3 linked regions of the Tamandua tetradactyla genome follow. The protein of the gene in region 1 purifies or fractionates together with the protein of each later gene. This does not show direct contact. Links are inferred from orthologs where the notes say so. Each region holds a gene or a part of one and is shown in the gene's direction. Other genes may lie near its edges.

Evidence for each region.
Region 2: the proteins of SRPK2 (region 1) and SON purify together in Homo sapiens (affinity purification with mass spectrometry; 4 studies listed by BioGRID and IntAct, with this or other methods). This does not show direct contact. The link is inferred for Tamandua tetradactyla from reciprocal best matches to the Homo sapiens genes SRPK2 and SON.
Region 3: the proteins of SRPK2 (region 1) and DIDO1 purify together in Homo sapiens (affinity purification with mass spectrometry; 3 studies listed by BioGRID and IntAct, with this or other methods). This does not show direct contact. The link is inferred for Tamandua tetradactyla from reciprocal best matches to the Homo sapiens genes SRPK2 and DIDO1.

What each region holds. Positions count from the first base shown.
Region 1 is NC_135327.1:143,768,624-143,775,459, reverse strand, and holds the start of SRPK2 (SRSF protein kinase 2), read left to right. Parts: upstream 1-3,822; 5' UTR 3,823-3,881; intron 3,882-6,836. UniProt on the Homo sapiens protein: Serine/arginine-rich protein-specific kinase which specifically phosphorylates its substrates at serine residues located in regions rich in arginine/serine dipeptides, known as RS domains and is involved in the phosphorylation of SR splicing factors and the regulation of splicing.
Region 2 is NC_135336.1:93,913,176-93,920,823, forward strand, and holds the start of SON (protein SON), read left to right. Parts: upstream 1-4,642; 5' UTR 4,643-4,723; coding exon 4,724-4,800; intron 4,801-7,648. UniProt on the Homo sapiens protein: RNA-binding protein that acts as a mRNA splicing cofactor by promoting efficient splicing of transcripts that possess weak splice sites.
Region 3 is NC_135327.1:60,503,331-60,510,545, reverse strand, and holds the start of DIDO1 (death-inducer obliterator 1), read left to right. Parts: upstream 1-4,209; 5' UTR 4,210-4,335; intron 4,336-4,345; exon of another isoform or gene 4,346-4,571; intron 4,572-7,215. Other genes in the region: GID8 (glucose-induced degradation protein 8 homolog), read right to left, coding at 1,007-1,124. UniProt on the Homo sapiens protein: Putative transcription factor, weakly pro-apoptotic when overexpressed. Tumor suppressor. Required for early embryonic stem cell development.

The sequences.
Region 1 (6,836 bases):
CAAGTAAAGAGGTTGGGGTTATTAGATCTTATGGGTTTAAAGGATGAAGCTGAGACTCAGATCTTTGAGGAGGAGGTGCTGACCTGCGTTGATGGTTCCTCTAACGGGACACAATGAGACTGATTTGGGTTGTACAATAAAATTTGAGGCTGGAACCAACTTGCCAAGGTAAATGGCCATAATTGAGATAATGTTGACAAAAAAGCAAGCAAAGAGGAAGGAGCAAGTCCCTTCCGTCCTTTTCAGCCTCTCAGTTTTCTTCTAGTGCCCAGCTTGTAGAACTAATGGGAACCCAATAGTTAGCCAAGTCATAGCCCCAGCATTACAAAGCTGAGAATACAAGGGTGGGTTTGGGGCTAAGAGAGAGTAATTTAATAAATGGCACTAATGGATTTTTAAAATGTGATATATTCAAGTATTGGAATGCTATACAGGAATGAGAATAAGCAAAACATGACTAAATACAGCAAACAACATGAATAAGCTTAACTTTGAGCAAAAGAAGCCAAATAAAATCTTAAATTTCATTTGATATATTAGCCCTAAGTGAAAATGGTTTATTAATGAGGAGAAGTGCTTTATTAATACATTAGTGAACAATGCTCTGAGCAAGCAGATCCTGTCTATTATTTTGTTTTTCACAGAAAATTATTTAGGTCCCTCTCCAAACCCACACTCGAGCCTCATATTAAGGAACACTTTTGGAATGAAACCTCTATTCCCACTTCCCCATTCAAACTTTTGAATAAACATTTTTTTTTTCAAATACCAAAAAACACAAAGGAAATGCAAACATCCTTATTTTGATCATTCCGTTCTACATATAAATCAGTACGAATAAACATTTTTTAAAAGTGGGGGAAGAAGAGCAGGAAATGGCAGTCAGTTCTGATTTTCCTTGTTTTGTAATATAAAAATATATCCACATTTACCTTTAGATATTAGCTAGGCCCACCCAACTCAGGTTGATCAAACACCAAAAACCCCTCCAATGCTTGTTTTGATTGTAATAGCTCTAGTTTCTAATAAATAAACATTAAGGAGAACAATGTTATAAAACTTCAAAAAGATAGCTACCTCCTTTTTCTAAGAGAATGTAGTGTTTGTGCACTTTAGGGCTGTCAATTTACGGTTGTTTTCTCCAAGACTTGCCTCAACACATTTTACTACCTTAATCCAATCCTGATTTAGGACACAACTCCGTGTTCTCAGTGTCATATCGCATCACTGTGTTAACATAATTCTAGCTTTATTGTAATGGATCTTGTGCTGGTCTGAATCTGTGGTGGACCCCAGAAAAGCCATGCCCTTTGATCCTCATTCAATATTGCTGGGTGGGGGCATTTTGATTGTTTCCATGAAGATGTGACCCACCCAATTGTGGGTGGTAATTTTTGATTAGATGATTTCCATGGAGGTGTGTCTCCACCCACTGATGGTGGAGTTGCTTGCTGGAATCCTTTTAAAGAGGAAACACTTTGGAGAGTCCCTTTTTGGTAGAGCCAGGAGAATAAGCTAGCAGATGACACCGTGTTCACCATGTGCCCTTCCAGATGAGAGAGAAACTCTGACTGTGTTCGCCATGTGCCCTTTCACTTGAGAGAGAAACTGTGAACTTCATCGGCCTTCTTGAACCAAGACGTCTTTCCCTGGATGCCTTCGATTGGACATTTCTATAGACTTGTTTTAATTGGAACATTTTCACAGCCTTAGAACTGTAAACTAGCAACTTATTAAATTCCCCTTTTTAAAAGCCATTCTGTTTCTGGTATATTGCATTCTGGTAGCTAGCAAACTAGAAGAGATCTGAACATTTTTTAAGATCATGAATTTGAAATTAGAAGGGAGAGAATTAAATGATACATTTTCAGCAATATTTTGAAGAAAGGATGAGGTTTTATCAAGGTAGCTTTCCCTCTGGCTTTTTTTTTTTTTCCTTAACACAGTCTTCTACCTTCAACATTATACATGAACTTTCCAGTTTGGTAAGTTTTTACTTTTTCCAGTGTGGCACACTATGTGGCATTATGTGTTTGAAAGGACACTAATTCACAATTTAGATCAACATCATGAAGGTGAACACAGCTGATGTCCTTCTTACTGTTTCCCTCCAGCTGCTCCCTAGAAGCTTTAGGATAAAATTTGTTCAACCACACTGTTTAAATAGTAGTCGTGCTGGACAGAAGCACAAAGTTGGAACAGCACCCAGACAAGATACAGGAGAGAAACACACAGCTCTGAGCACAGGTGAGTGGGTACACCAGGTGTGTTGTTTCTGGTGCTGTATTTTACTGCTTACATGTCAAATCAGTTTGTCAGAACACAAAAATGAGCCTGTGGTTTAGCAACCTAAAATACTAGAGTGCTCAGAGATGGAAAGACAGTATAGCAACATGGGTTCAGAACTCCAATAGAAACCGAATGATGAATATCCACTCCATATTTGGTCTCCCTTGTCAATCTATCATTTTCAGCCTCCCTCCTCCCTTGTCATATATATATATATATATATATATATATATATATAGTCATATATGTTATTCTAGCAAAAAAAAAAAACACATTAATTTTGATGCCTGGAAACATTGACTTAAGTTTTGCTGAAGGACTTGAAGCTAATAAAGGTTCTTTTTTCAGTCTCTGAGACTGGGTGCTAAGTGATATAAAGACGATTTATTCAGCAACACCAGCTGAGCAACTCTGGGGTGCCAGATTCGGTGGGGCACATTAGTGAGCTGGATGGACCTGACTTATTGTACTGAGGAAGGCCTATTTTTCTCCCTTTGATTTCTCAAGTCTGGGTGGTGAAAAGGTAGGGGCTGGGTGTTATACTGCCCCAGGTTTTTAAGGAACCAAACAAAATGTGAAGAGAACTGGGGATAACTTAACTGGGAAGCTACTTTATTTGCTAATAAGGGAGGTGGAAGAATCACTTCTCTCTGTTTTGTTCTGCCAAGGATTTCATCTCAGAGCTGTTGCACAATAGAGATACAAACCTAAGTTTCTAACATGTTCCATGTTTTTGTTCGTTTGTTTAACTGTGAACAAAAACATATTCAGCTTATTTCTATATTTTATACTGGATTTTTTCCACAGCCACAGTAAAATAAGAAGCCAAATTGTTACACTCAGAGAGTTCAAGTATTTGAGAACTGAGACTCTATCATGGCTACATCCATGTCTAAATGTTTGGAAGGAATGTCACCCTAGGTGGGACAATTCAGCATAGTTTATTATGTCCGGGCCATCTGATCTATTTAGATACATGTTGACATATTTGTCAATATTCTAAATCCATCCTAATCCAGCCCTTGGGAAATCTTCAGGAGTCATTTTTCAGCTGGCTTATATAAGACTCTTAAATACAGGAGGCATTTTATTTATAACAGATTTATTACAGTTGATGATTTTCTCAAGCTAGGATATCTAGTCCACATTCCCTTTTCTTAAGTATGAATGTTAAACGGAAATTACCTTTCATTTCTATGGTTTAAACAAATGGTAGAAGGAGCGGTTTTCCCAAGGATTCTCACTATAACTTGTAAAGCAGAGGCACTTAAAAGAAACAAAGAATGACCCCTTGTGGTGATTTGAAAATATGTTCACACATCCTTTGATAATCCTCCAGTCGAGAGGTGGAGCTTAATTCTCCTCCTTTGAGCACACACTGTACTTAGTTACTTATTTCTAAGGAATAGAATGTGGCAGAAATGATGGAATGTGACTTCACGCGTAGGTCATAAAAGATCATACAACTTCTGTTTGTTCTCTCTTGGGTGACTCACTCTGGGGGAAGCCATCTGCCATGCCATGAGAACACTCCGGCAGTCCCATGGAGAAGTCCTGGTGGTGAGGAACTGAGGCTTCCTGCCTATACACATGTGAGTGAGCTGTCTTTGTAGCAGGGCTTCCAGCCTCAGTTAAGGCTTCAGGTGATAGTAGCTTGAGCTGATACCCTTTTTTTTTTTTTTAAATATTTAAAATGAGTTTTTAATTTCAGAGTAGTTTCATATTTACAAAGAAGTCACAAAGATAGTCCCTCACACCCAGTTTCCCCGAATATTAATATATGACCCTGGTATAATACCTTTGTCACAATTAATGAACCAATATGGATACATTACTAATCTTTATTCTCTTTTCATCGGTTTTGATCTAATGTCTTTTTTTCTATCCCAGGACATTCAGGAGATCACATTACATTTAGTTGTCATGTCTCCTTAGGCTCCTGTTGGACGTGATAATTTTTCAGACTTTCCATGTTTTGCATAATAACTTAAAAATTTTTTTTGTTTTACTTTGAAATAAATTCAAATTTACAGGACAGTTGCAAAAATTATACAAAACCCATACAGAGAACTCCAACATACCCTCATCCAGACACCCAGATCTACCAACTTCTAACATTTTTCCACATTTGTCATGTCATTCTGTCTTTACCTATCTATATATCTATCCATCCATCCATCTATCTATTTAGGTTGTAGGTTGTATCCCAGATGACATTTTGACTCTTCAGCTAAGCTATTCTCAAATTCCTGGACCAGAAACTGAGACAATTTTTTTGTTATTTTAGGCTGCTAAATTCGGGGGTAAGTTTTTACGCAGCAATAGATAATACATCCCTAATATGTATATTTATGTGTACATATATGGACAGCTAATATTTATTGAAAACTTAGTTTCAATAAAGTTGAAAACTATGGACTTGTTCTAGTTTGCTAGCTTCCGGAATGCAATATACCAGAAACAGAATGGCTTTTAAAAAGGGGGATTTAATAAGTTAAGAGTTTACAGTTCTAACGCTGAGAAAATGTCCCAATTAAAACAAGTCCATAGAAATGTCCAATCTAAGGCATCCAGGGAAAGATATCTAGATTCAAGAAGGCTGATGAAAGTCATGGTTTCTTTCTCAAGTGGAAGGGCACATGGCAAACATGGTCTGGGTACATTTATCATCTGGAAGGGCATATAGCAAACACAGCATCATCTGCTAGCTTTTTCTCCTTGCTTCCTGTTTCATGAAGCTCCCTGGGAGACATTTTCCTTCTTCATCTCCAAAAGTTGCTGGCTGGTAGACTCTGATTCTCAGGGCTATGTCGTTCTTCTCTGCTCTCTCTGAATCGCTCTCATTCTTCAAAATGTTTCCTCTTTTATAGGACTTCAGAAACCAATCAAGACCACCCAATGGGTGGAGACATGTCATCACCTAATTCAGCTTAACAACTACTCTTGATTAAATCACATCTCCAGGGAGATGTTCTGATTACAGCTTCAAACATACAGTATTGAACAGGGATTATTCTAACTTTATGAAATGGGATTTTGATTAAACATGGCTTTTCTAGGGAACATATATCCTTTCAACCAGCACATTATCTAAGCATTTTTATGTGAAATAACTCATTTCTCGTAACAAACTTCAAGGTAGGCAATATTATTATCTGAATTTTGCAGATTGGGCAGCTGAGACATAGAGAGACTGAGTTACTTGTCCAAGATTACTGCAACTTGGCAATGAAGAACTAGAGTGTGAACTCTGGCAGTCAAGCTCTACTACTTTACACTAACTGCTACATTACACTGCTATTGCAATGATGCTAGTGCCACTGAGAAATACCCTATGATGAGAAAACAATTGACAGGTTTAAGCTTCATAGTAAAAGTACAGATTAGATATAAGGAAACTTTCCTAAAACCTGATAATCTCAGAGGGCATTTAAAAGGAGGCTAATTTTCATATTTCTTTCCTAGTTTAAAGAACTAAAATCTTGTCAGCAAGACTGCTTTAAGGTCTTTAATTAAATGTCACCTCAGGGACACCTTCCTTGATCACCTTATACAAACCCTTCCTAAAAGGTCTGTTTTATTTTTCTACCTAGAAGTCATTACCGTCTAGTAAAAACAGTATATATTTCACATATTTATTTTGTTTATTGCCTGTTTCCTGTGAGTAGAATGTAAGCTCCATGAGAACAGGAAGATTTGGATATCTTTTGTTCACTGGTGTAGACTCAGTGCCTACAATAATGCCTTTGATAAGTATTTGTTGAAAAATGAGTGCAAAAGATCAAGCAAGTAGATTGGTGTATGTCTCGCTCAACTAAGGTCAATAATTATCTATTGAATATGTTATTTGATTATAATAATGACCTCTGAGGACTGGTATTAAGTAACTTGCCTAAGGTTTTGCAGAAATTAAATGGCAGAAACCAGTTTCAACACTGTGTTAAGGGAAAGAAGTTAGTCACAAAAGGCCACATGTGTAATTCCATTTATATGAAGTGAACAGAATAGGCAAGTCCATAGAGACTGAAAGCAGATTAATGCTTACCTAGTTTGGGAGGAAATGGGGAGCTATGCTAGTGGGTGTGAAGTTTCTTATAGAGGGGTTAAAAATATTAAAAAATTAGATTGTTGGTGATGGTTACAAAACTTTGTGACTATACTAAAAAACTTTTAAATTGTATACTATAAAAATAGATGAATTGTACGGTATATGAATTATATCACATTAAAGTTGCTAAAAGAAAAAATTAAAGAAACCAGTTTCAAACTCAGATCTCTTTGGCTTCAAAATGTTAAGAAAGAACCCCAACTGAAGAAACGGCTGGTTCTGAGATTGAGTTAGGGAATGCACAGTTTCCTGGAACATCTTGTGTTAAAAAGTAAAGAGGTGATCAAAAACTGATAGGGAGGGCAGGCCATGGTGGCTCAGCAGGCAGAGTTCTCACCCGCCATGCAGGAGACCCAGGTTTGATTCGTGGTGCCTGCCCATGCAAAACCAACAACAACTGTTAGGGAGGGCATATTTAACATCCTCTGGTTGAGGCAGC
Region 2 (7,648 bases), on another chromosome or scaffold:
TGGCTCTATAGTCACAACTATTACATGCCATTAGGATACTAGGCACTGTGGACACAAAGCAAAATAAGAGAGGTAGTTCTGTCCTCATGCAGCTTACATTCTCATGGGGAAATGGGAGATAGGAAACAAGTAAGAAAACAAATAGTAAAAATAAATACAGACAGTGGTTCAGGAAGGAAAACCAATGAAATGGGGTGGAGACTTGTTTAGTTGGAAACTTTAGGAAAGGCCTCCTTAAGAAGGTAATATTTAAGTTGCGACTTGAATAATGAGGCATTAACCATGCCAGTGGGTAGGAACAGATGCCAGTCCAACGCAGCTCTGTTGGGGAAATTGGCTTGACAGTAGGGATCGAGCACAGTGAAAAGAAAAAAAAAGGACATAAACGATCAGGCTACAAAGGCAGGCCGAAGCCAGATCCCAAAAGGCTTTGTATGGAACCAAAGGAATTAGGGTTTTATTCTAAGGGCTAAGGGAAGCTACTCAAGAGTTTAGGGTAATACATGAACTGATCATTTTTCCAGCAGAAGAAACAAAGGCTGAGATCTATTATGGAGTTACAATTGCCAGGACTTACATTTGACAGCACTGTCCATCTCTGCATTAATGATGTGATCGAAATATACATCAACATGTTTTTAATCTATATTAGGCACTTATTAATTTCTCAGTGGATATATTTTATAAGGCATAGGCCTAAAATAATTTCAGATAAGGAAATGTAGCATTTAGAATAGGACACCTCATTTCTACTATAGGGAAGTATTCAAATGACCACATAAATTCTGAGTTTAGAAAAGCAATTCAGACAAAACGAAGAACTTGAACAGCAACCTGGATATGGTTATCAGTTTATCGTTAGCAAATAACAGTTACTTCCCACTTTAAAACATGTTACCAGTATTTGAAATCTTTCCAGAGCACGAAGTGCCTGCATTTCCTGGGGCGACCAACACTTGCTTGACGTGGTGAGACTGTGCAAGTTTCCAGGCCAGTGTATGTTCCCTTCCTCCACTGCCAATTATCAGCACACGGGCTGACATGGCTGTCTGCAAAGCAGGAATTCAAAAGGCAAATGAAAACTGCAGAAAGAAAACCAGAGCTAACATTCAGAATGCACACACTTTAGAAATCATAAAATTTCTAAATCTGATGTTAAGTAGTAGTTTGTACTCACAAAAATGACATTTTAGTCCAGAGATTCATTTTTGAATAAAAAATTGGGAGGTGAGATAAATGACAGTACTAACAACTGCAAAGGAAGTATTTTAAAAATGAGATAGACTGGCCTAACGAACTTAAGTTAGGGAGTGAAATGGGGTTTTACCTCCTTACCTAAGAACAATCTTACTTCTTCGGGATTCAATTTTAGAAAATTTAATAATCATCAAGCCACAGTTTAGAAAAACAAATGTTGATATTTTAGACACAAAATTTAAAAACCATTTTTAACCCTCGAAATCTTCCAATAGTTATCATTGACAGAAAAATATTTAAGACTGGAGTAGGCAAACTTTTTCTGCAAAGGGCCAGTAGTGAATATTTTCAGGTTTAGGGGCTGTAAGGTCTTTGTTCAACTACTCAACTCTACTATGGTATCATAAAAGTAGTCTTAGCCTTAAGTAAATGAACAAGCATGGCTATGCTCCCCTAGAACTTAATTCTACATAAACAGGCAAGCCAAAATGAGGTTGTAGTTTACCTATTCTGGCTCTAAGCAATGGGAAGCCATCAGAAATTAAAAACGAATAATCAAGACTGTTTCAATAAAACTTTACTTATGGACTCTGAAATTTGAATTTCATGTGTCATTAAAATCAACATTCTTTTCTTCTAATCATTTAAAGATGTAAAAACCATTTTGAGCTTGACGGCTGTACAAAAAGGTTGGTGGACAGGACTTCTCACCTGAGTCATAGTTTGCTGACCCATGATTTAAGAAATTAGTGCTATATGTTAGGAAATTGGCAGAGAAGGCAAAAATCAAATTTGAACCCCTTTCACTTCAGTTATCTGCCCAGAATGGACATGAACGCTCCCTTCTCTACTCCAGGGAGTGACACTGGCTAAGCTCTATCTGTAATTGTTTCCTCACATCTTAAAGGACAGCAATTACGACAACTTGCCTTACAATGCTATATAAGGATTTAATTGAAATGACATGTATAATCAAATTAGTATAATCTCTGGCACTCAGCAACACAGAATTGTGGCACTGTATTTTTTCTGAAGCCATTTAATTATGCAGAAGGCAAATTCATATCAGAAAAACAGAAAACTGAAATCAACTTACTATGATATGCTAAAATTATATATCTACAGAAAAATCTAAGTTGATACTATAAAAACTAATATTTTCTTGTGTGCATTTACCACGTGTCAGGCACTATTATAAATGCTTTTCATGAATTACCTCACGTCAATTTCACAAGGTTTATATGAGGTAACCATTAGCATCTTCATTCTACAGATGAGGAACTGCGAGGTTCAGTGAGGGTAAGTAATCTATAGAGGACACACAAATTAAGGATTGAAGCCTGGAAACCAACTGAAGCAAAGTTTAAAAACATTTTTATTGTGGTAATATAGTTAACATAATATTTTCCATTTTAACCAATTTTAAGTGTAGAACCTGCGGCACTAATTACACTTAAAATTTTATGCTACCATAACCATCATACATTATCAGAAGTTTGTTGTCACCCAAAACAGAAACTCCACATTCCCCTGGTAACCTCAAATCTACTTCCTGTCTTTATGAATTGGCAAATTCTAGATATTTCATGTAAGTGCAACCATACAACGTCTGTTTTTTGAGTGTATGGCTTGTTTCATTTAACACGATTTCTAGACTCATTCAGGAAATTTAAGCAATTTTGCTTCAGATGCTCTAACAACTGAGATGGTGACCACTGAAAATTTGAGGAAGAAAAATTCTATATTATAGTTTCAGAAGGAGAGAAAAGTAATTTTAGTTTAATGGAAAACATTGACATTTCACTTGCCACATATAATAAGACATCTGAAATAAACATGTATTTAAATCTAGATAAAATATCATATTTAGTTTAAATGAGAGATGCAGTGAAGGAAAACTTTGCTAGTTACTAAAAAGTTGGTCACTGAAACAGCCTGATTCCAGAGTCAAGGGTATATACCTCGATTTGGGTTGAACTTCTGCCCCTTCCTACCTGGGAGACGTGAGTGACTTAAATAAGCAAGATTCTTGAGTCTCAGTCACCTTATATCTAAAATAGAAACTTACTAGAAGAGAAGAGTAAGAGAGCTAGGAAGTTATTGCATAGGATCTGACAAATATTACAAAGAAGAAACCAATTACATAGGTAGAGTAAATAATCACTAGTGTACATAACGGGGAAATACGGCAAAAAACATCAACTTACTCTTATGGCCTAAAAAAAGCATAAAGACACAAAAAGATAAAGCCCTCACATCGCAGAAAGTAGGAAAAGTGATAGATCAAATGTAAACCTCTGTTAATAGTAATAAGTGAAAAGCACATGGCCAGACCCACCCAATGCATTTTTTTAACAATGCGTTTTAAAATGATGAAAACGTCTACAGCCAAGCCAGTTTCTACAGCTTCACTTCTTAATAGTAAATTTCCAAATCAAAGCACAAGTGCAGTTTACCTAAAAACGGAGTGAGCTTACGCACCGACACAAAAACGTCCCGCGCTGCCGCCTCGCACACTCGCCGGCGTGCTGAGCCCGGGCGCACGCCGTGGCGGAAGTTGGCGGAGCAGGATCCGCCCCGCGCGCTCCCCCGCCCCGCCTCGCCCCTCTTGGTCGGCCAGGCCCAGGGTCCCCAGTGCAAGGTAATCAAGTGTGGTCCCCTCCCTCGGGCGCGGCCTAAGCTCTGACCAATGCCACCAAGCCATCACAGGCTTATCATGTAATACTGTAACATTGAGTGCCACGTAACGTCTCCATTCCTCTCCGAGTGCCTCCTGAGGTCTGAGGAGGGGAAACCTCCTGAACGCTAAACCAATGAGTAGCTCACTGTATGTTGCTATCGAGAGTCTGGACTGCCCAGTTACCGCGAAGTCTCGTCACACTGACTCCTAACGAGGCTGGAATGTATCAGACTCTAAAAACAGGTAGCTCAGGACCTCTGCCCTATTGCTAAGAAATTGAGGCCGATTATAGCATGCAACGAGAGAGAGTCGGGGTAAAAACACGTTCTAATCATGCTTCAGGGGGGTGGGGGCTGAGTAGTTCTTTCCCGGATGTATCCTTCTGACAGAACTGAACTTGGCGCCCCCGTGACGCTTGGAGGCCCTTTGTCAAGAACACTGTATTGCTTTTTGTTCCTCCATTTCACTGCCATAAATTTCGGGCGTTCAGTCGCTACACGAGGCCTATTAAGCCCACTAAAGAATAATGGGACTGACAACCTCAGCCGACACATTCGCCTCAAAACAGGCTTCTCCTGTAATGGCGCCTGCGTCAGACACTAACATGGCGGACGCGATCGTGCGCGGCGCAAACGTCAGCAGCTCTACCCCAGCCGCTCAGAAACAGTGGAGGAGAGCGGAGCCGTGCTCGTTCATTGGCTCTGCGTCGGAGCGCGCCCGTCTGGACGCTCCCACAGGAGCCAATCAGAGGGGCGAGAGACGGAACTGGCCGCTGCGCCGCTTCCCGAGGCATGCTGGGAGCCTGGAGGACTAGCGAGGAGGAGTTGAGAGAACGGAGCGGACGCCATGGCGACCAACATCGAGCAGATCTTTAGGTCTTTCGTGGTCAGTAAATTCCGGGAAATTCAACAGGAGCTGTCCAGGTAAACGCTTCCCAGACTTTTCTGTTCCAAAGGGACCGCTAGGGCCCGATGTAGCTTTTCACGGCACCTTTCTTCAGAGACGCCGTCGTTCGTCTGCTCAGGCGCCGCTACGGCCCCGCCTGGGCCTGGGATCCATTTTCCGCCGCCCCCCCATCCCGTCTCTCCTTTTCCCGCGGGGAACTTCACCCTTTCTTAGGTATCCTTAGACTCCTTCGTCGAGAGCCCTGTTAAGATGTTCGCTCTTCTCTTTGGGTTGGTCATCCCTTACCCTTTAGCAACTTGGAGGCCGGGTTGTCCACTAGGGACGGGCCTAGTTTTTTTCTCAGCTCCTCCTCCGCTGCCGCGTTTCCCCTCCCCCTCTCCGCCGATTTCGCCAGCCGGTGTCTAGGACCGGAAAGGGTCTCTAACGGCCGTTTTTTGGTTTATCTTAAATCCACGTTATTATTTCAAGCTTCGGACCGTTTAGGGGCCGGGATGCACTAGTTAGGTTATACGGACCTTAGTGTCCTGTGGCTTCCACCAGGCAACAGGGGATAGAGATCTACATTAAAATAGCTCAGATTAGTTCGTTAGCTATTTTGTCAAAATATCCGGGACGAGGGTGGTTAGGGGACTTTGAAATACCAGTAATTTCTTAAATTTTAGCGAATTGCAGGCAGGTTTTGTGTGTAGATTTAGTTTTTCTTACTACTCCATTCTTGTTGACATATTTGACCTACGCGGTGCTTTGCAATTGCCGTTTAGACTTTAATTGCACTTGGTTTCACGAAATTTGAAGGGTAAGCGATTTCCAGAGAAGTGGTTGTTTATTCAGAGAGGAAAACAGCGTGGGTCATGTTCAGTGGTTGTCTTTTAATACTTTCGCTTTGTATAAAATACTTATTTTTTCAAAGTATAGTTGTGGAAAGATCTTGAATAGTTGTTCTGAGTGTATTTTTGCTAATTATATTTCTAAGGTTGAGAACAAGAGCAGTATGTGAATTTGAAAATCGGCCAAAAACGTAACTGTAAATTAAGTGCCCAGATGAATTTAGGATTATTGAGGCTGTTTTTATTTTTGCAGAATTATATTGTTTTTAAAGTGAAAATGTGTCTATTCATAACACTGCGTCTTAAGTGGTATTCTTAGGATGAGGAGAGAAGAGGACCTAAGGAAATAGAATTTCAATAACTTTTTATAGTAGCATACAATAAGTCCTTGTGTTTCCTTAGTTTAATTGGTCGTTTTTGTAGTTTTAAAAAAGTCAGTTTTTCTATTGGAATGTGTTTTATTGTAGAAAATTGAGAAAACAAATGAGAAAGTGAAAATCGCATAGTTATTTCTGTTCTTTCATTTTTTCCTTTCCATATATATAAAGATATATTTGTTTTGAGAAGTCCCATCATCTTGAATTGTGGGTTTTTCATCTAGTGAATTGTGAACAAGTTTCTCCTTTATCACAGTCTCAGTATTTTGCAACATTTTTCATCACTGCATAGAATTGTGTTGTAGGGATATATTGTTGGGTATTTAGTTGTTCAAGATTTTCATGAGTTCAAAGTAATTGCAGTTAACATCCTGGTATCTTTCTCTTTGACACTGTCATGGTTATTTCCGTATAGACTGACCCCATCCTATTTTTTTTTGTTTGTTTAAGTGTTGCGTTCTCTGATTTTTAGATCCTGGTAATTGCGTATAAATACTTGGGCATAGTGTGAAATTAAGTGATTCGGGAAGAAAGAAAGCATTTTGTTATTAGAGGAATATGCAGTTTCCACTCAAACAACATGTATTGCATTATCAGTCTAAAAACGAATTTTGGATTATTTGCCATTTCACTGGGTCCCCCACTCCATCTGCTTTTACATGCATCCTGTAGGTAATGAGACTGACATGAAGATACTTCAGATATGCTCTGTTATTATTCTAGAGAGACAGTGGCTAAGAGTCAGCCCTGGTTTTGAATACCAACTTCACCTTTGAAAGTCGTGTGACCTTTGGTCAAATTTCTCCTCTCATTTTCTTCATTTCTCACATCAGGAGAATGCTGGTCTTCGAGGTTTGTTAGGGTTAAATGAGTTTAAAAATGTAGAACAGCGAGATACATCCTACTTAGCAGTCAGTAAATGTTAATTATTATTATTACATGATTTATTATTTTGGAAAACCAAATGTTCCTTAACATCTAATTACCTACTGATATTTTGTATTTTTTGATTCAGGACTTTTGTCAGGTATAGAAGCATAATTGTTTTATTTTTAACTAAAATTGAAGTTAAATAAATATTGAAAGTGTTGAAACTATTTGATTTTTCACAATTGTGTAAATTTACACAAATGGTAAAAATGGCTAGGTAAATGGCATATTCTTAGGGCAAAATGCCCTTTGGCCCTTAGATTGAAAACATAAACCCATTTGCTGTTAGTCTAATTAATCGTCATTTGTTTTATGTGACTTTTAAACACCATTATTATTTTTTTAATGCCAGGATTTTTGATAATTGGGTGAAAGTTAAATGTATTTATTTTTCTTTTTAAACTTCCTGGCATTTCAGAAACAGTTTAAACCTAACCAAAGACTGTAAGTAAGTCACCCTTTTTACTCAGTGTGCCCATGACCAACTTTGTGTTTCATGATGTTGGTGGTGATTGTGATTCATGCACAGGTGTGGCTTTATTGTTGTGATAGTTTTTAGTGTGATGTTCAAAAGTTAATATTTTTCTTTGAACTTTTGATTTGGCTTTTAATAATTTTTCTCCCTTGATAGAAATAGACAGGTAAACCAAAAGCCTCAGTGTAGATTTCTAGGGGTTTTGTATTTAAAAAAATAGGTGAACCTAGAAACTTTTTAAATTACTTTTTCTTAA
Region 3 (7,215 bases), about 83 Mb from region 1:
ATGATCTTGAAATACAGCAAATGAAAAAAGCATGTTAATTCCTTTCTACCCCATCCAAAAAAATATCCTAACATATTAGCCAAAGAGGCTTAGAATGAATGCATAAAGCTCGGTGTTGTTAGTGTGACTCCTCGAAGGCTAAAATTACAGGGACAGGTGCCCAAGACTGAGGGTGTGGTTCTGAATGATTCTAGACAAACTGGATAAGCCAGCAGAAAGCATGTTGTACCTCCAAAGCCAATTTTACCTGCAGTAAACTGGTGACCGCCACCTCTGTGTGATTCTACAAAGCTTCTCAGCACCCAAGCCAGTGTGTGTACACCTCTCCACTCAATCCTCCCTCTCTTTCTCCCCTTCTGTTTCTCTCTCTTTCTCTCCCTCCCTCTCTCCACACATGTACAGCTATGAGTCTACATTTTCTGATCATCTTACAAAAAAAAGTTTTTTTTAATAGTACTAATTCACAGAGACCATCTGAGGACTAAGAGGAGAGAGACTTACTTTTCATTTTATGTCTTTTGAAAACACGGATTTTCTTAGCACATATATTATTACCCTTTTTTCTCCCAAATACCAGTGAGGGCTGAGTGTTAGGATGACAGATCACTTTTGTTTCCTTCCATACACTTTTGCCCTCCTACCTTTCCTCTTTTTGAGTTGGATACATCTTCTAAAAAAAGGTTAGCATAATTTACCAGACTGGTCATAAGAGATAAATTATTTGGGACTTAAATGTACTTCGGAATATTTTTAATGATCTTGATTATATAACTGAAAAATTGTCAAGCAACAAGTTTTTCTTTAGGTCTCAGATACCAAGAAAACTTACTTGATGTCCTGAAGAGGATATCTTTAACACAATAAAGTGCAAATGAAGTTATTGCTATGTTTTTATAATATCTTTTGTACACAACCTCACCACTGAACTTCAGTGGTAAAGCTATACCAGAGTATAGAAGAGGGAAAATTATGTTCAAGGAATAACATCCTTAGTATAAACCCTTACCTGTAACAAGATAGTTCATGATGAGACGATTCATGTCTGCTCGCTGAATATGTAAGTTATTGAGTTTTTCCATCCATTCATCTTTTGTGATTTCATCGGGTTTTTCTGTATAACTCATTCTGATGTATTTCTACAGGAAAAAAACATATTATCTTAAAGAACTAGTTACAAATTCTATAACAATCGTGATTATTTCAGAAAATAATAACAAGAGTCGTGTCATAAGAAGTAAAAGGGAGAGAATGGAAAGATACTCTAACTTTGGAAAACAGCTCATGCAAAGGGCCCAAGACCCAGAAGTGTGTCTGTGCAGCAGGAGGAAGGTCAGGGGGTTGAGGAGGTGGGATGAATGTGGGAAGAGCCAAGAGATCTTGGACCTAGGAAGTTGAGAGATCAGCTGAGGTCAGATCAAGTAAGACCTCATAGTCTGAGAGAGGAGGTTAGAGTCTCTCTAAGTACAAATGGAGCCACTAGAGAGTTATAAACTAAATTATTACATGTTATGACTTAGGTTCTAAAATGAAGGGAGAACAATTGTATACCCACTAGATCAACAAAAAAATCGGACAATACCAAGTATTAGAAAAGGCCTGGAGTTCTCTCAATCTCTGTTATTTGGTACTGTGTAAAACAACTTGGCATTTTTAGGTAAAAATGAACATGTGGATTCCTTATAACATGGTAGTTCTACCTATACCACATTTATACCCTAGAAAAACTCACAAACCTGCAGTAGGGACAGATACAAGCCTCTTCACATAAGCAATGTTCAAAAAGGCAAAATATGGAAACCACCCACAGTAGTCTGGACAAAGGAACTGACAGGGAGAATACAATACCATGTCTTAAACCCTTGGGACAGATTTGTTTCAGAAATCAGCCTTTTCCAGATGGTAGGAAGCTTATATGGCACAATTTACCATATGCGTATTACATAAGAATTTGGGGCAGCACCCTATAATCAAACATTATTTCTTCAGTGACGTGTACAAGTATTCAAAGAAGGTAGAATAAAGCCTATTAACCAGGTCATGTTTTACCACCAAATGGGTTAAAAAGAAAACCAAAAACTTCTGGTTTCAGAGCTTTTGGACTTCAGGATTGCTGAGAAGGAACTACAGTTTGTGTATCCACACAACAGAACTGAACAGAGTAGTTAAAACAATGAACTAACAATCACACATCACTTGCAGAAACCATGCTAAATGAAAAAAGTCAGTTACAGAGGTCTAAGTATGGCATGATAGTTTTGTAACAATCAAAAAGACTAACTAATATGTCCTTTAGGAACAAATATATATGTGGCAAAACTTTTTTTTTAAGTATGAGCAAGCAATATAAATCTCAGAAGGGTGGTTACCTGTGGGAGGATGACTGGGATGGCAGAGGCCACAGAGATGTGATTTATACATACATTATAGACATTACACATAGCAAATTGTTTCAGCAAACAAAAAAGTTAGAAGACGGTTCTGGTTTCCTGGTCAACGACGGACTGAACATAATAGGGTGCCTAGAACTGGGCAGGAAGACCAGAAGGGAGACATCCAAGCAAGAGAGGATAGTTGTCTAGACTAGAATGCTGGCAGAAGAGAAGGAAAGATATGACTAGAGTCAAGATTCTTTGGACCCTGAGGCAATGGGACTTGCTGATGGACTGAGAGTGGAGAGATACGACAAAGGGAAGAATGGAGAAGGACTTGGAGGTTTCCAGTTTGAGACCCTGGAAGGTAGGGCCACAAATGAGGAGGAAGGACTAGGAGAGGAACAAGTCTGAGGTGACCATTAGGCATGTAGGTGAAGTAAAGCAGGTACCTGGATCACAGGTCCTGAGCTCAGCGCTGGAAACATTAATTAGGGAAACATTCTCAGAGAAATAAAGGTTAGAGTTTGTAAAGATCACACAGGAGAAAGAGTAGATAGAGGAAACAAGACAAAAGCCCCCCGGGGACTTGGCGAATGTGTGTCTCCAAGCAGAGCAGACACCAGCAAAAGAAAACAATGTGAAGGAGCAGCAAGTGAGAAGTAAAACCGAGAGAATACGGTGACACCACAAAACATCCCCCGTACCTCCAGGTCAACTGTATAACTCAGTAAGAGCTCATTTTTATTCGCAGATAGAATTAAAGGTAGAGTTAGAACCAATATTAGAAGCCCAATATTTAAAAAAGGCACCTTTTCTCAGTTTTCACTTGGCAACGGGCAGTCACACTAGTATCACACACAGGTGGTAAGTGCGATTTTTTAAAAACGACGACTCTGAAGAACTGCCCTGTTCTGTTTTCCGCGGGAAAAACTCAGCAAGCTCAACCTCCAGCAGTTAAATAATCAACACAAATAAACACAAATTCTTAACCAGTAAAATAAATTCCTTAAACACCGAGGACAACAAACATTTGCTGTCCAGGCGGCATTTTACGCCGTGTCTGCTTTAAAACAGTTTTGTTGTATAAACCTTTCTCTTCGGGGAGACAGATTCAATATGTTCTGGACAACCATTAATTATTATTTTCGTAAGGCGAATGGTTAGACCGCAGGATAGAGCCTTCGTTCGAAAATGTTCTCCCTTTAAGAATAAAGCCTAAATTACGGCTCCGAAGCACAGTCGAGATTGGAGCACATTCTGGCCGAGAAGAAACGGCCAGCTGACGTGCAGACCCAGAAGACGACTGCCCTCCACTCCCGAGAGCGCGCACCAAAATCCAGACCCCTGCGTGGGCCCGGCTCCCAGACCCACGCGGGGTGAGCTCGGTCCAGGCGTCCCGGGGTCCGCGGGACGCACCCCAGGCACCCGGGCGCGAGGCCGCCGTCCGGCCCGTCTCCCGGCCCGGGATCAAGCTGCCCGGGCCCGCGCGGCCATCTTACCGTGCGGATCCCGCCTCCCGCGCTGCACGGTCTCGGCGGCGGCTCCGCGGCCGCTCCAGGGGGCCTGGGCCCGAGCCGAGGAAGGGGCGGCGTCGCGGGGGCGGGGGCGGCGGCAGCGGCAGCGGCGCCTCAGGAGAGGTAGGCGGAGGCCGCGGCGGAGGCGGGGGTGGGGGCGTGAGCAAGAGGGTAGACCACCGGCGGTCGCCCCCCCACCTCTCGCGAGATCAAGAGGCGGCAACCAATGAAGCGCTCTCGCGATGGGGCCGGACGCGGCGGCCGCCCGGAATTGCGGAGCCCCAGCTTCCGTTCTTGCGCAGAACTCCTCGTGCGGCGCCCTCGCTCTATGGGCTGGCGCGAGAGTCAAAAGGTATCGACCGCTTTTAGTAAAATGGCCGCCGCCGACGCGTCGTGATGTGGAAACTTCGCGCCGGGACGGCGACATCTAGATTGAGTCGGAGGCTAAGGTGCCCGCGTCCTTTCCCGTTCTTTGTGACAGGCCAGAGGGAATAGGACGCGGAGGCGGGCAGGGGGTGGATGGGGAGAGAGATGCCAGGCGCTCCAAGACCGCCCCTCCGACGGAATCGCTTCTCGACTGCTTGCTTCCCAGAGGCTCAGGCGAGACGCTGTTAGATCCGTACTGGGCGTGGGTTTCCTGAATGAGTGTTAAATTGAATTCATTGAGTTTATTCGACGAATGCTGGTAAGCGCGTTCTCGCTCGATGCCAGAAGGGTAAGCAAGAGCGGGCAGGGACGACCCAGCGCTCGTCACGTCCTCCCACCAGGGTCGCAGAACCGTCGGCGTCGACACGTAGGGACCCAGGCCTATTAGAGTTGAAGCTGAGTGGGGCGGGGGCTGAAGAAAGACCTCCTTGGAGAAGCGAGCGACGCAGTCCTCACTGTATTCCTAGCCGGGCCTGGCTGGCTTCTTCTCGGGGATATTTGTTGTAGAAGGGCAGTGGCGGGAGATGAGCGCTGGCTGAGGGCATAAGTATATATTTGCGTGTTCATTTACTCATTATTGTATGTCTTCTCAAGAACAATGTAAACTCTGTCAGAGCAAGGCCTTGTTTTTTTTTCCTTACTGAAAAGTAAAGGTAAAGATTGAAGAGCTTTAGAAAGAAACAGAAGTATTGAGCGGGCAACCCCTTGTTTATCCGATGATGGCAACTAAATTTGTATGTCGTAGATAAAAGTAGTTGCTGACATATACTGCATATGTGTGTTTTAAATTGATTTATGTCAAAACTTTGGACCTACAGAATTAGGTTATTCAAGTAAAGAAAATGCCCACAACCAGACTTCATTTACACACTTGTCTGCCATATTAGACTGACTTTGCTCAGAAAATGCCTTGACATTGCTTTCTCCTTAGGAAGGAAAATTAACAGTCCTTGGTGATTGACAGTTTGTGGAAACTAAGGGAGAGGGGTCAGATCTGCAGCCCGATAGATCAGTTCAGGGGTGATGGCACCCAGTGAGAAGGATACAAAAGGGGGAACGCTCATGATGAGGAATGTAGTAGGGGGAGAAGGAAAGATGGTAAGTTCGTTGTGGGCGGGGCTGACTTTGAGGTGCTTGTGGGACGCATCTAAAGCTCAAGGGAAAAGATCAGGCTGGACTGGAATGTTTTGTGGTGATATCGTGTGGGAGTTAAAATAGTTAAATGTGTTCTGGGAATGCACATAAAGAGAAGGAGTGAATTAAATCCATAATCCCTTAAGGCGACAGAGAAGAACCAAGGAATTTAGAAGGCTGTTCTCACAGCTTTAGGGCATAGTGAGTTTCATGGAGATGTGATTAGCAATGTCGAATGTCCCCACAGCTTTAGGGCATAGTGAGTTTCATGGAGATGTGATTAGCAATGTCGAATGTCCCCACAGCTTTAGGGCATAGTGAGTTTCAGGGAGATGTGATTAGCAATGTCCAATGCAACAGAGAGATCTAGTTTGATAGTCACCCAAAACTCACCATTTGATGGTTATTGGTGACTGAGTGATGGGGTGGGACTGGAAGAATCAAAATTACAGTAAGTTGTTAGGGGAATGAGGGTGAGGGGAAGAGAGTAATGTGTTCCACACTTTCAAGAGGGATTGGAGAGCCATGCAGCAAATGAGTGATGGGAGCCTGTGGAAGAGGCCATATTACACACTTAAGCAACAGGATTTGATGACTGAGGAGGAAGGAAGGAATCAACGATAATTCCAGGCTCCGGCTTGGGCATTTTAGTATATAGGGTGAAACTATCCAGTGAAGAAGGAAAGCCAGAGAAGGACCTGGGTTGTGGGGGAGGGTCGGAAATCATTAGTTCAGTTTTGTATGTGTTGGGGACACTTGAAACATCTAGTTGGAGCTGTCAGGGAAGGAACTGCATGGATGGGCCTGGATCCAGGAGAGATAACAAGTAACCGAAACAAGGTGTGAATGAGATTTCCTATGGCTAGTATATAAGAATGAGAATAGAGGGGCCTAGGCAGGAGCCCTGAAGAACAGCATCACCATTGGGACCTGGCAGCAGAGTCTGTGAGATGACCGACAGAAAAGTGTAAGGGAGAGCAGGAAAGAGGTAGATGGGTCCAGGAAGAGGAGAGGGTGCACGGCCACATTGGTCACCATCTGGGATCAAGATTAACTGGCTGCACTTCCTGATGTGGAAGAGGTGGTGTCTGGAAGAGTGAGGCCACAGGACCTGGCCAGGTGGTCTGAACTCACTCGTCTCCAAGCCCAGGTGGTGGCTTTAAACTTGAGAAACTGTTTCTTTTTAAGAGAGAGGTTAGCAGTTCTATAAAGAGATACTAAAGGCATATTATTTTTCAAAGAACATTAATGAGGTTTTAAAAGAACATTAAAAAGGGAAAAGCATTTTGAGAATTTTATTTTGAGGATAAAATACATAGTCCTTCCTTTACTGAAATCGTAGAATGTTTGAAACCCAGGATTATCAATCATGTTTTTCAGAACCACATTATTTCACTAGATGTTTTTGTTTCACTCTTAAAATACAAACGTATAAAAATCAAAACCCAAAGTTCTGAGGCCTCTAGTTTTCAAAGGGTTTTGGCAAAAGCAAATAGTTTTATTCTTAAGGATAATATATGAATCAATCAGTTGTCCGTGCTCAGTACCCTTGGCACAGCTAGGTAGTAGATACCTAGAAATCAGTGTTCATAGACTTCTCTTTTCACAATATTCAAAAAATTTCTTTATGAGGATGTTAGAAGTGAAGAATTTTTTGTTATTTAGTTCTGCTGCACATAATCACATGTCTGCTGAACTGAGGCGCTGTAACGCAAGTTCAGAGGGGATTTTTTTAATTGTCTGCCCTGTCGCCCCACATTTGCCTGATT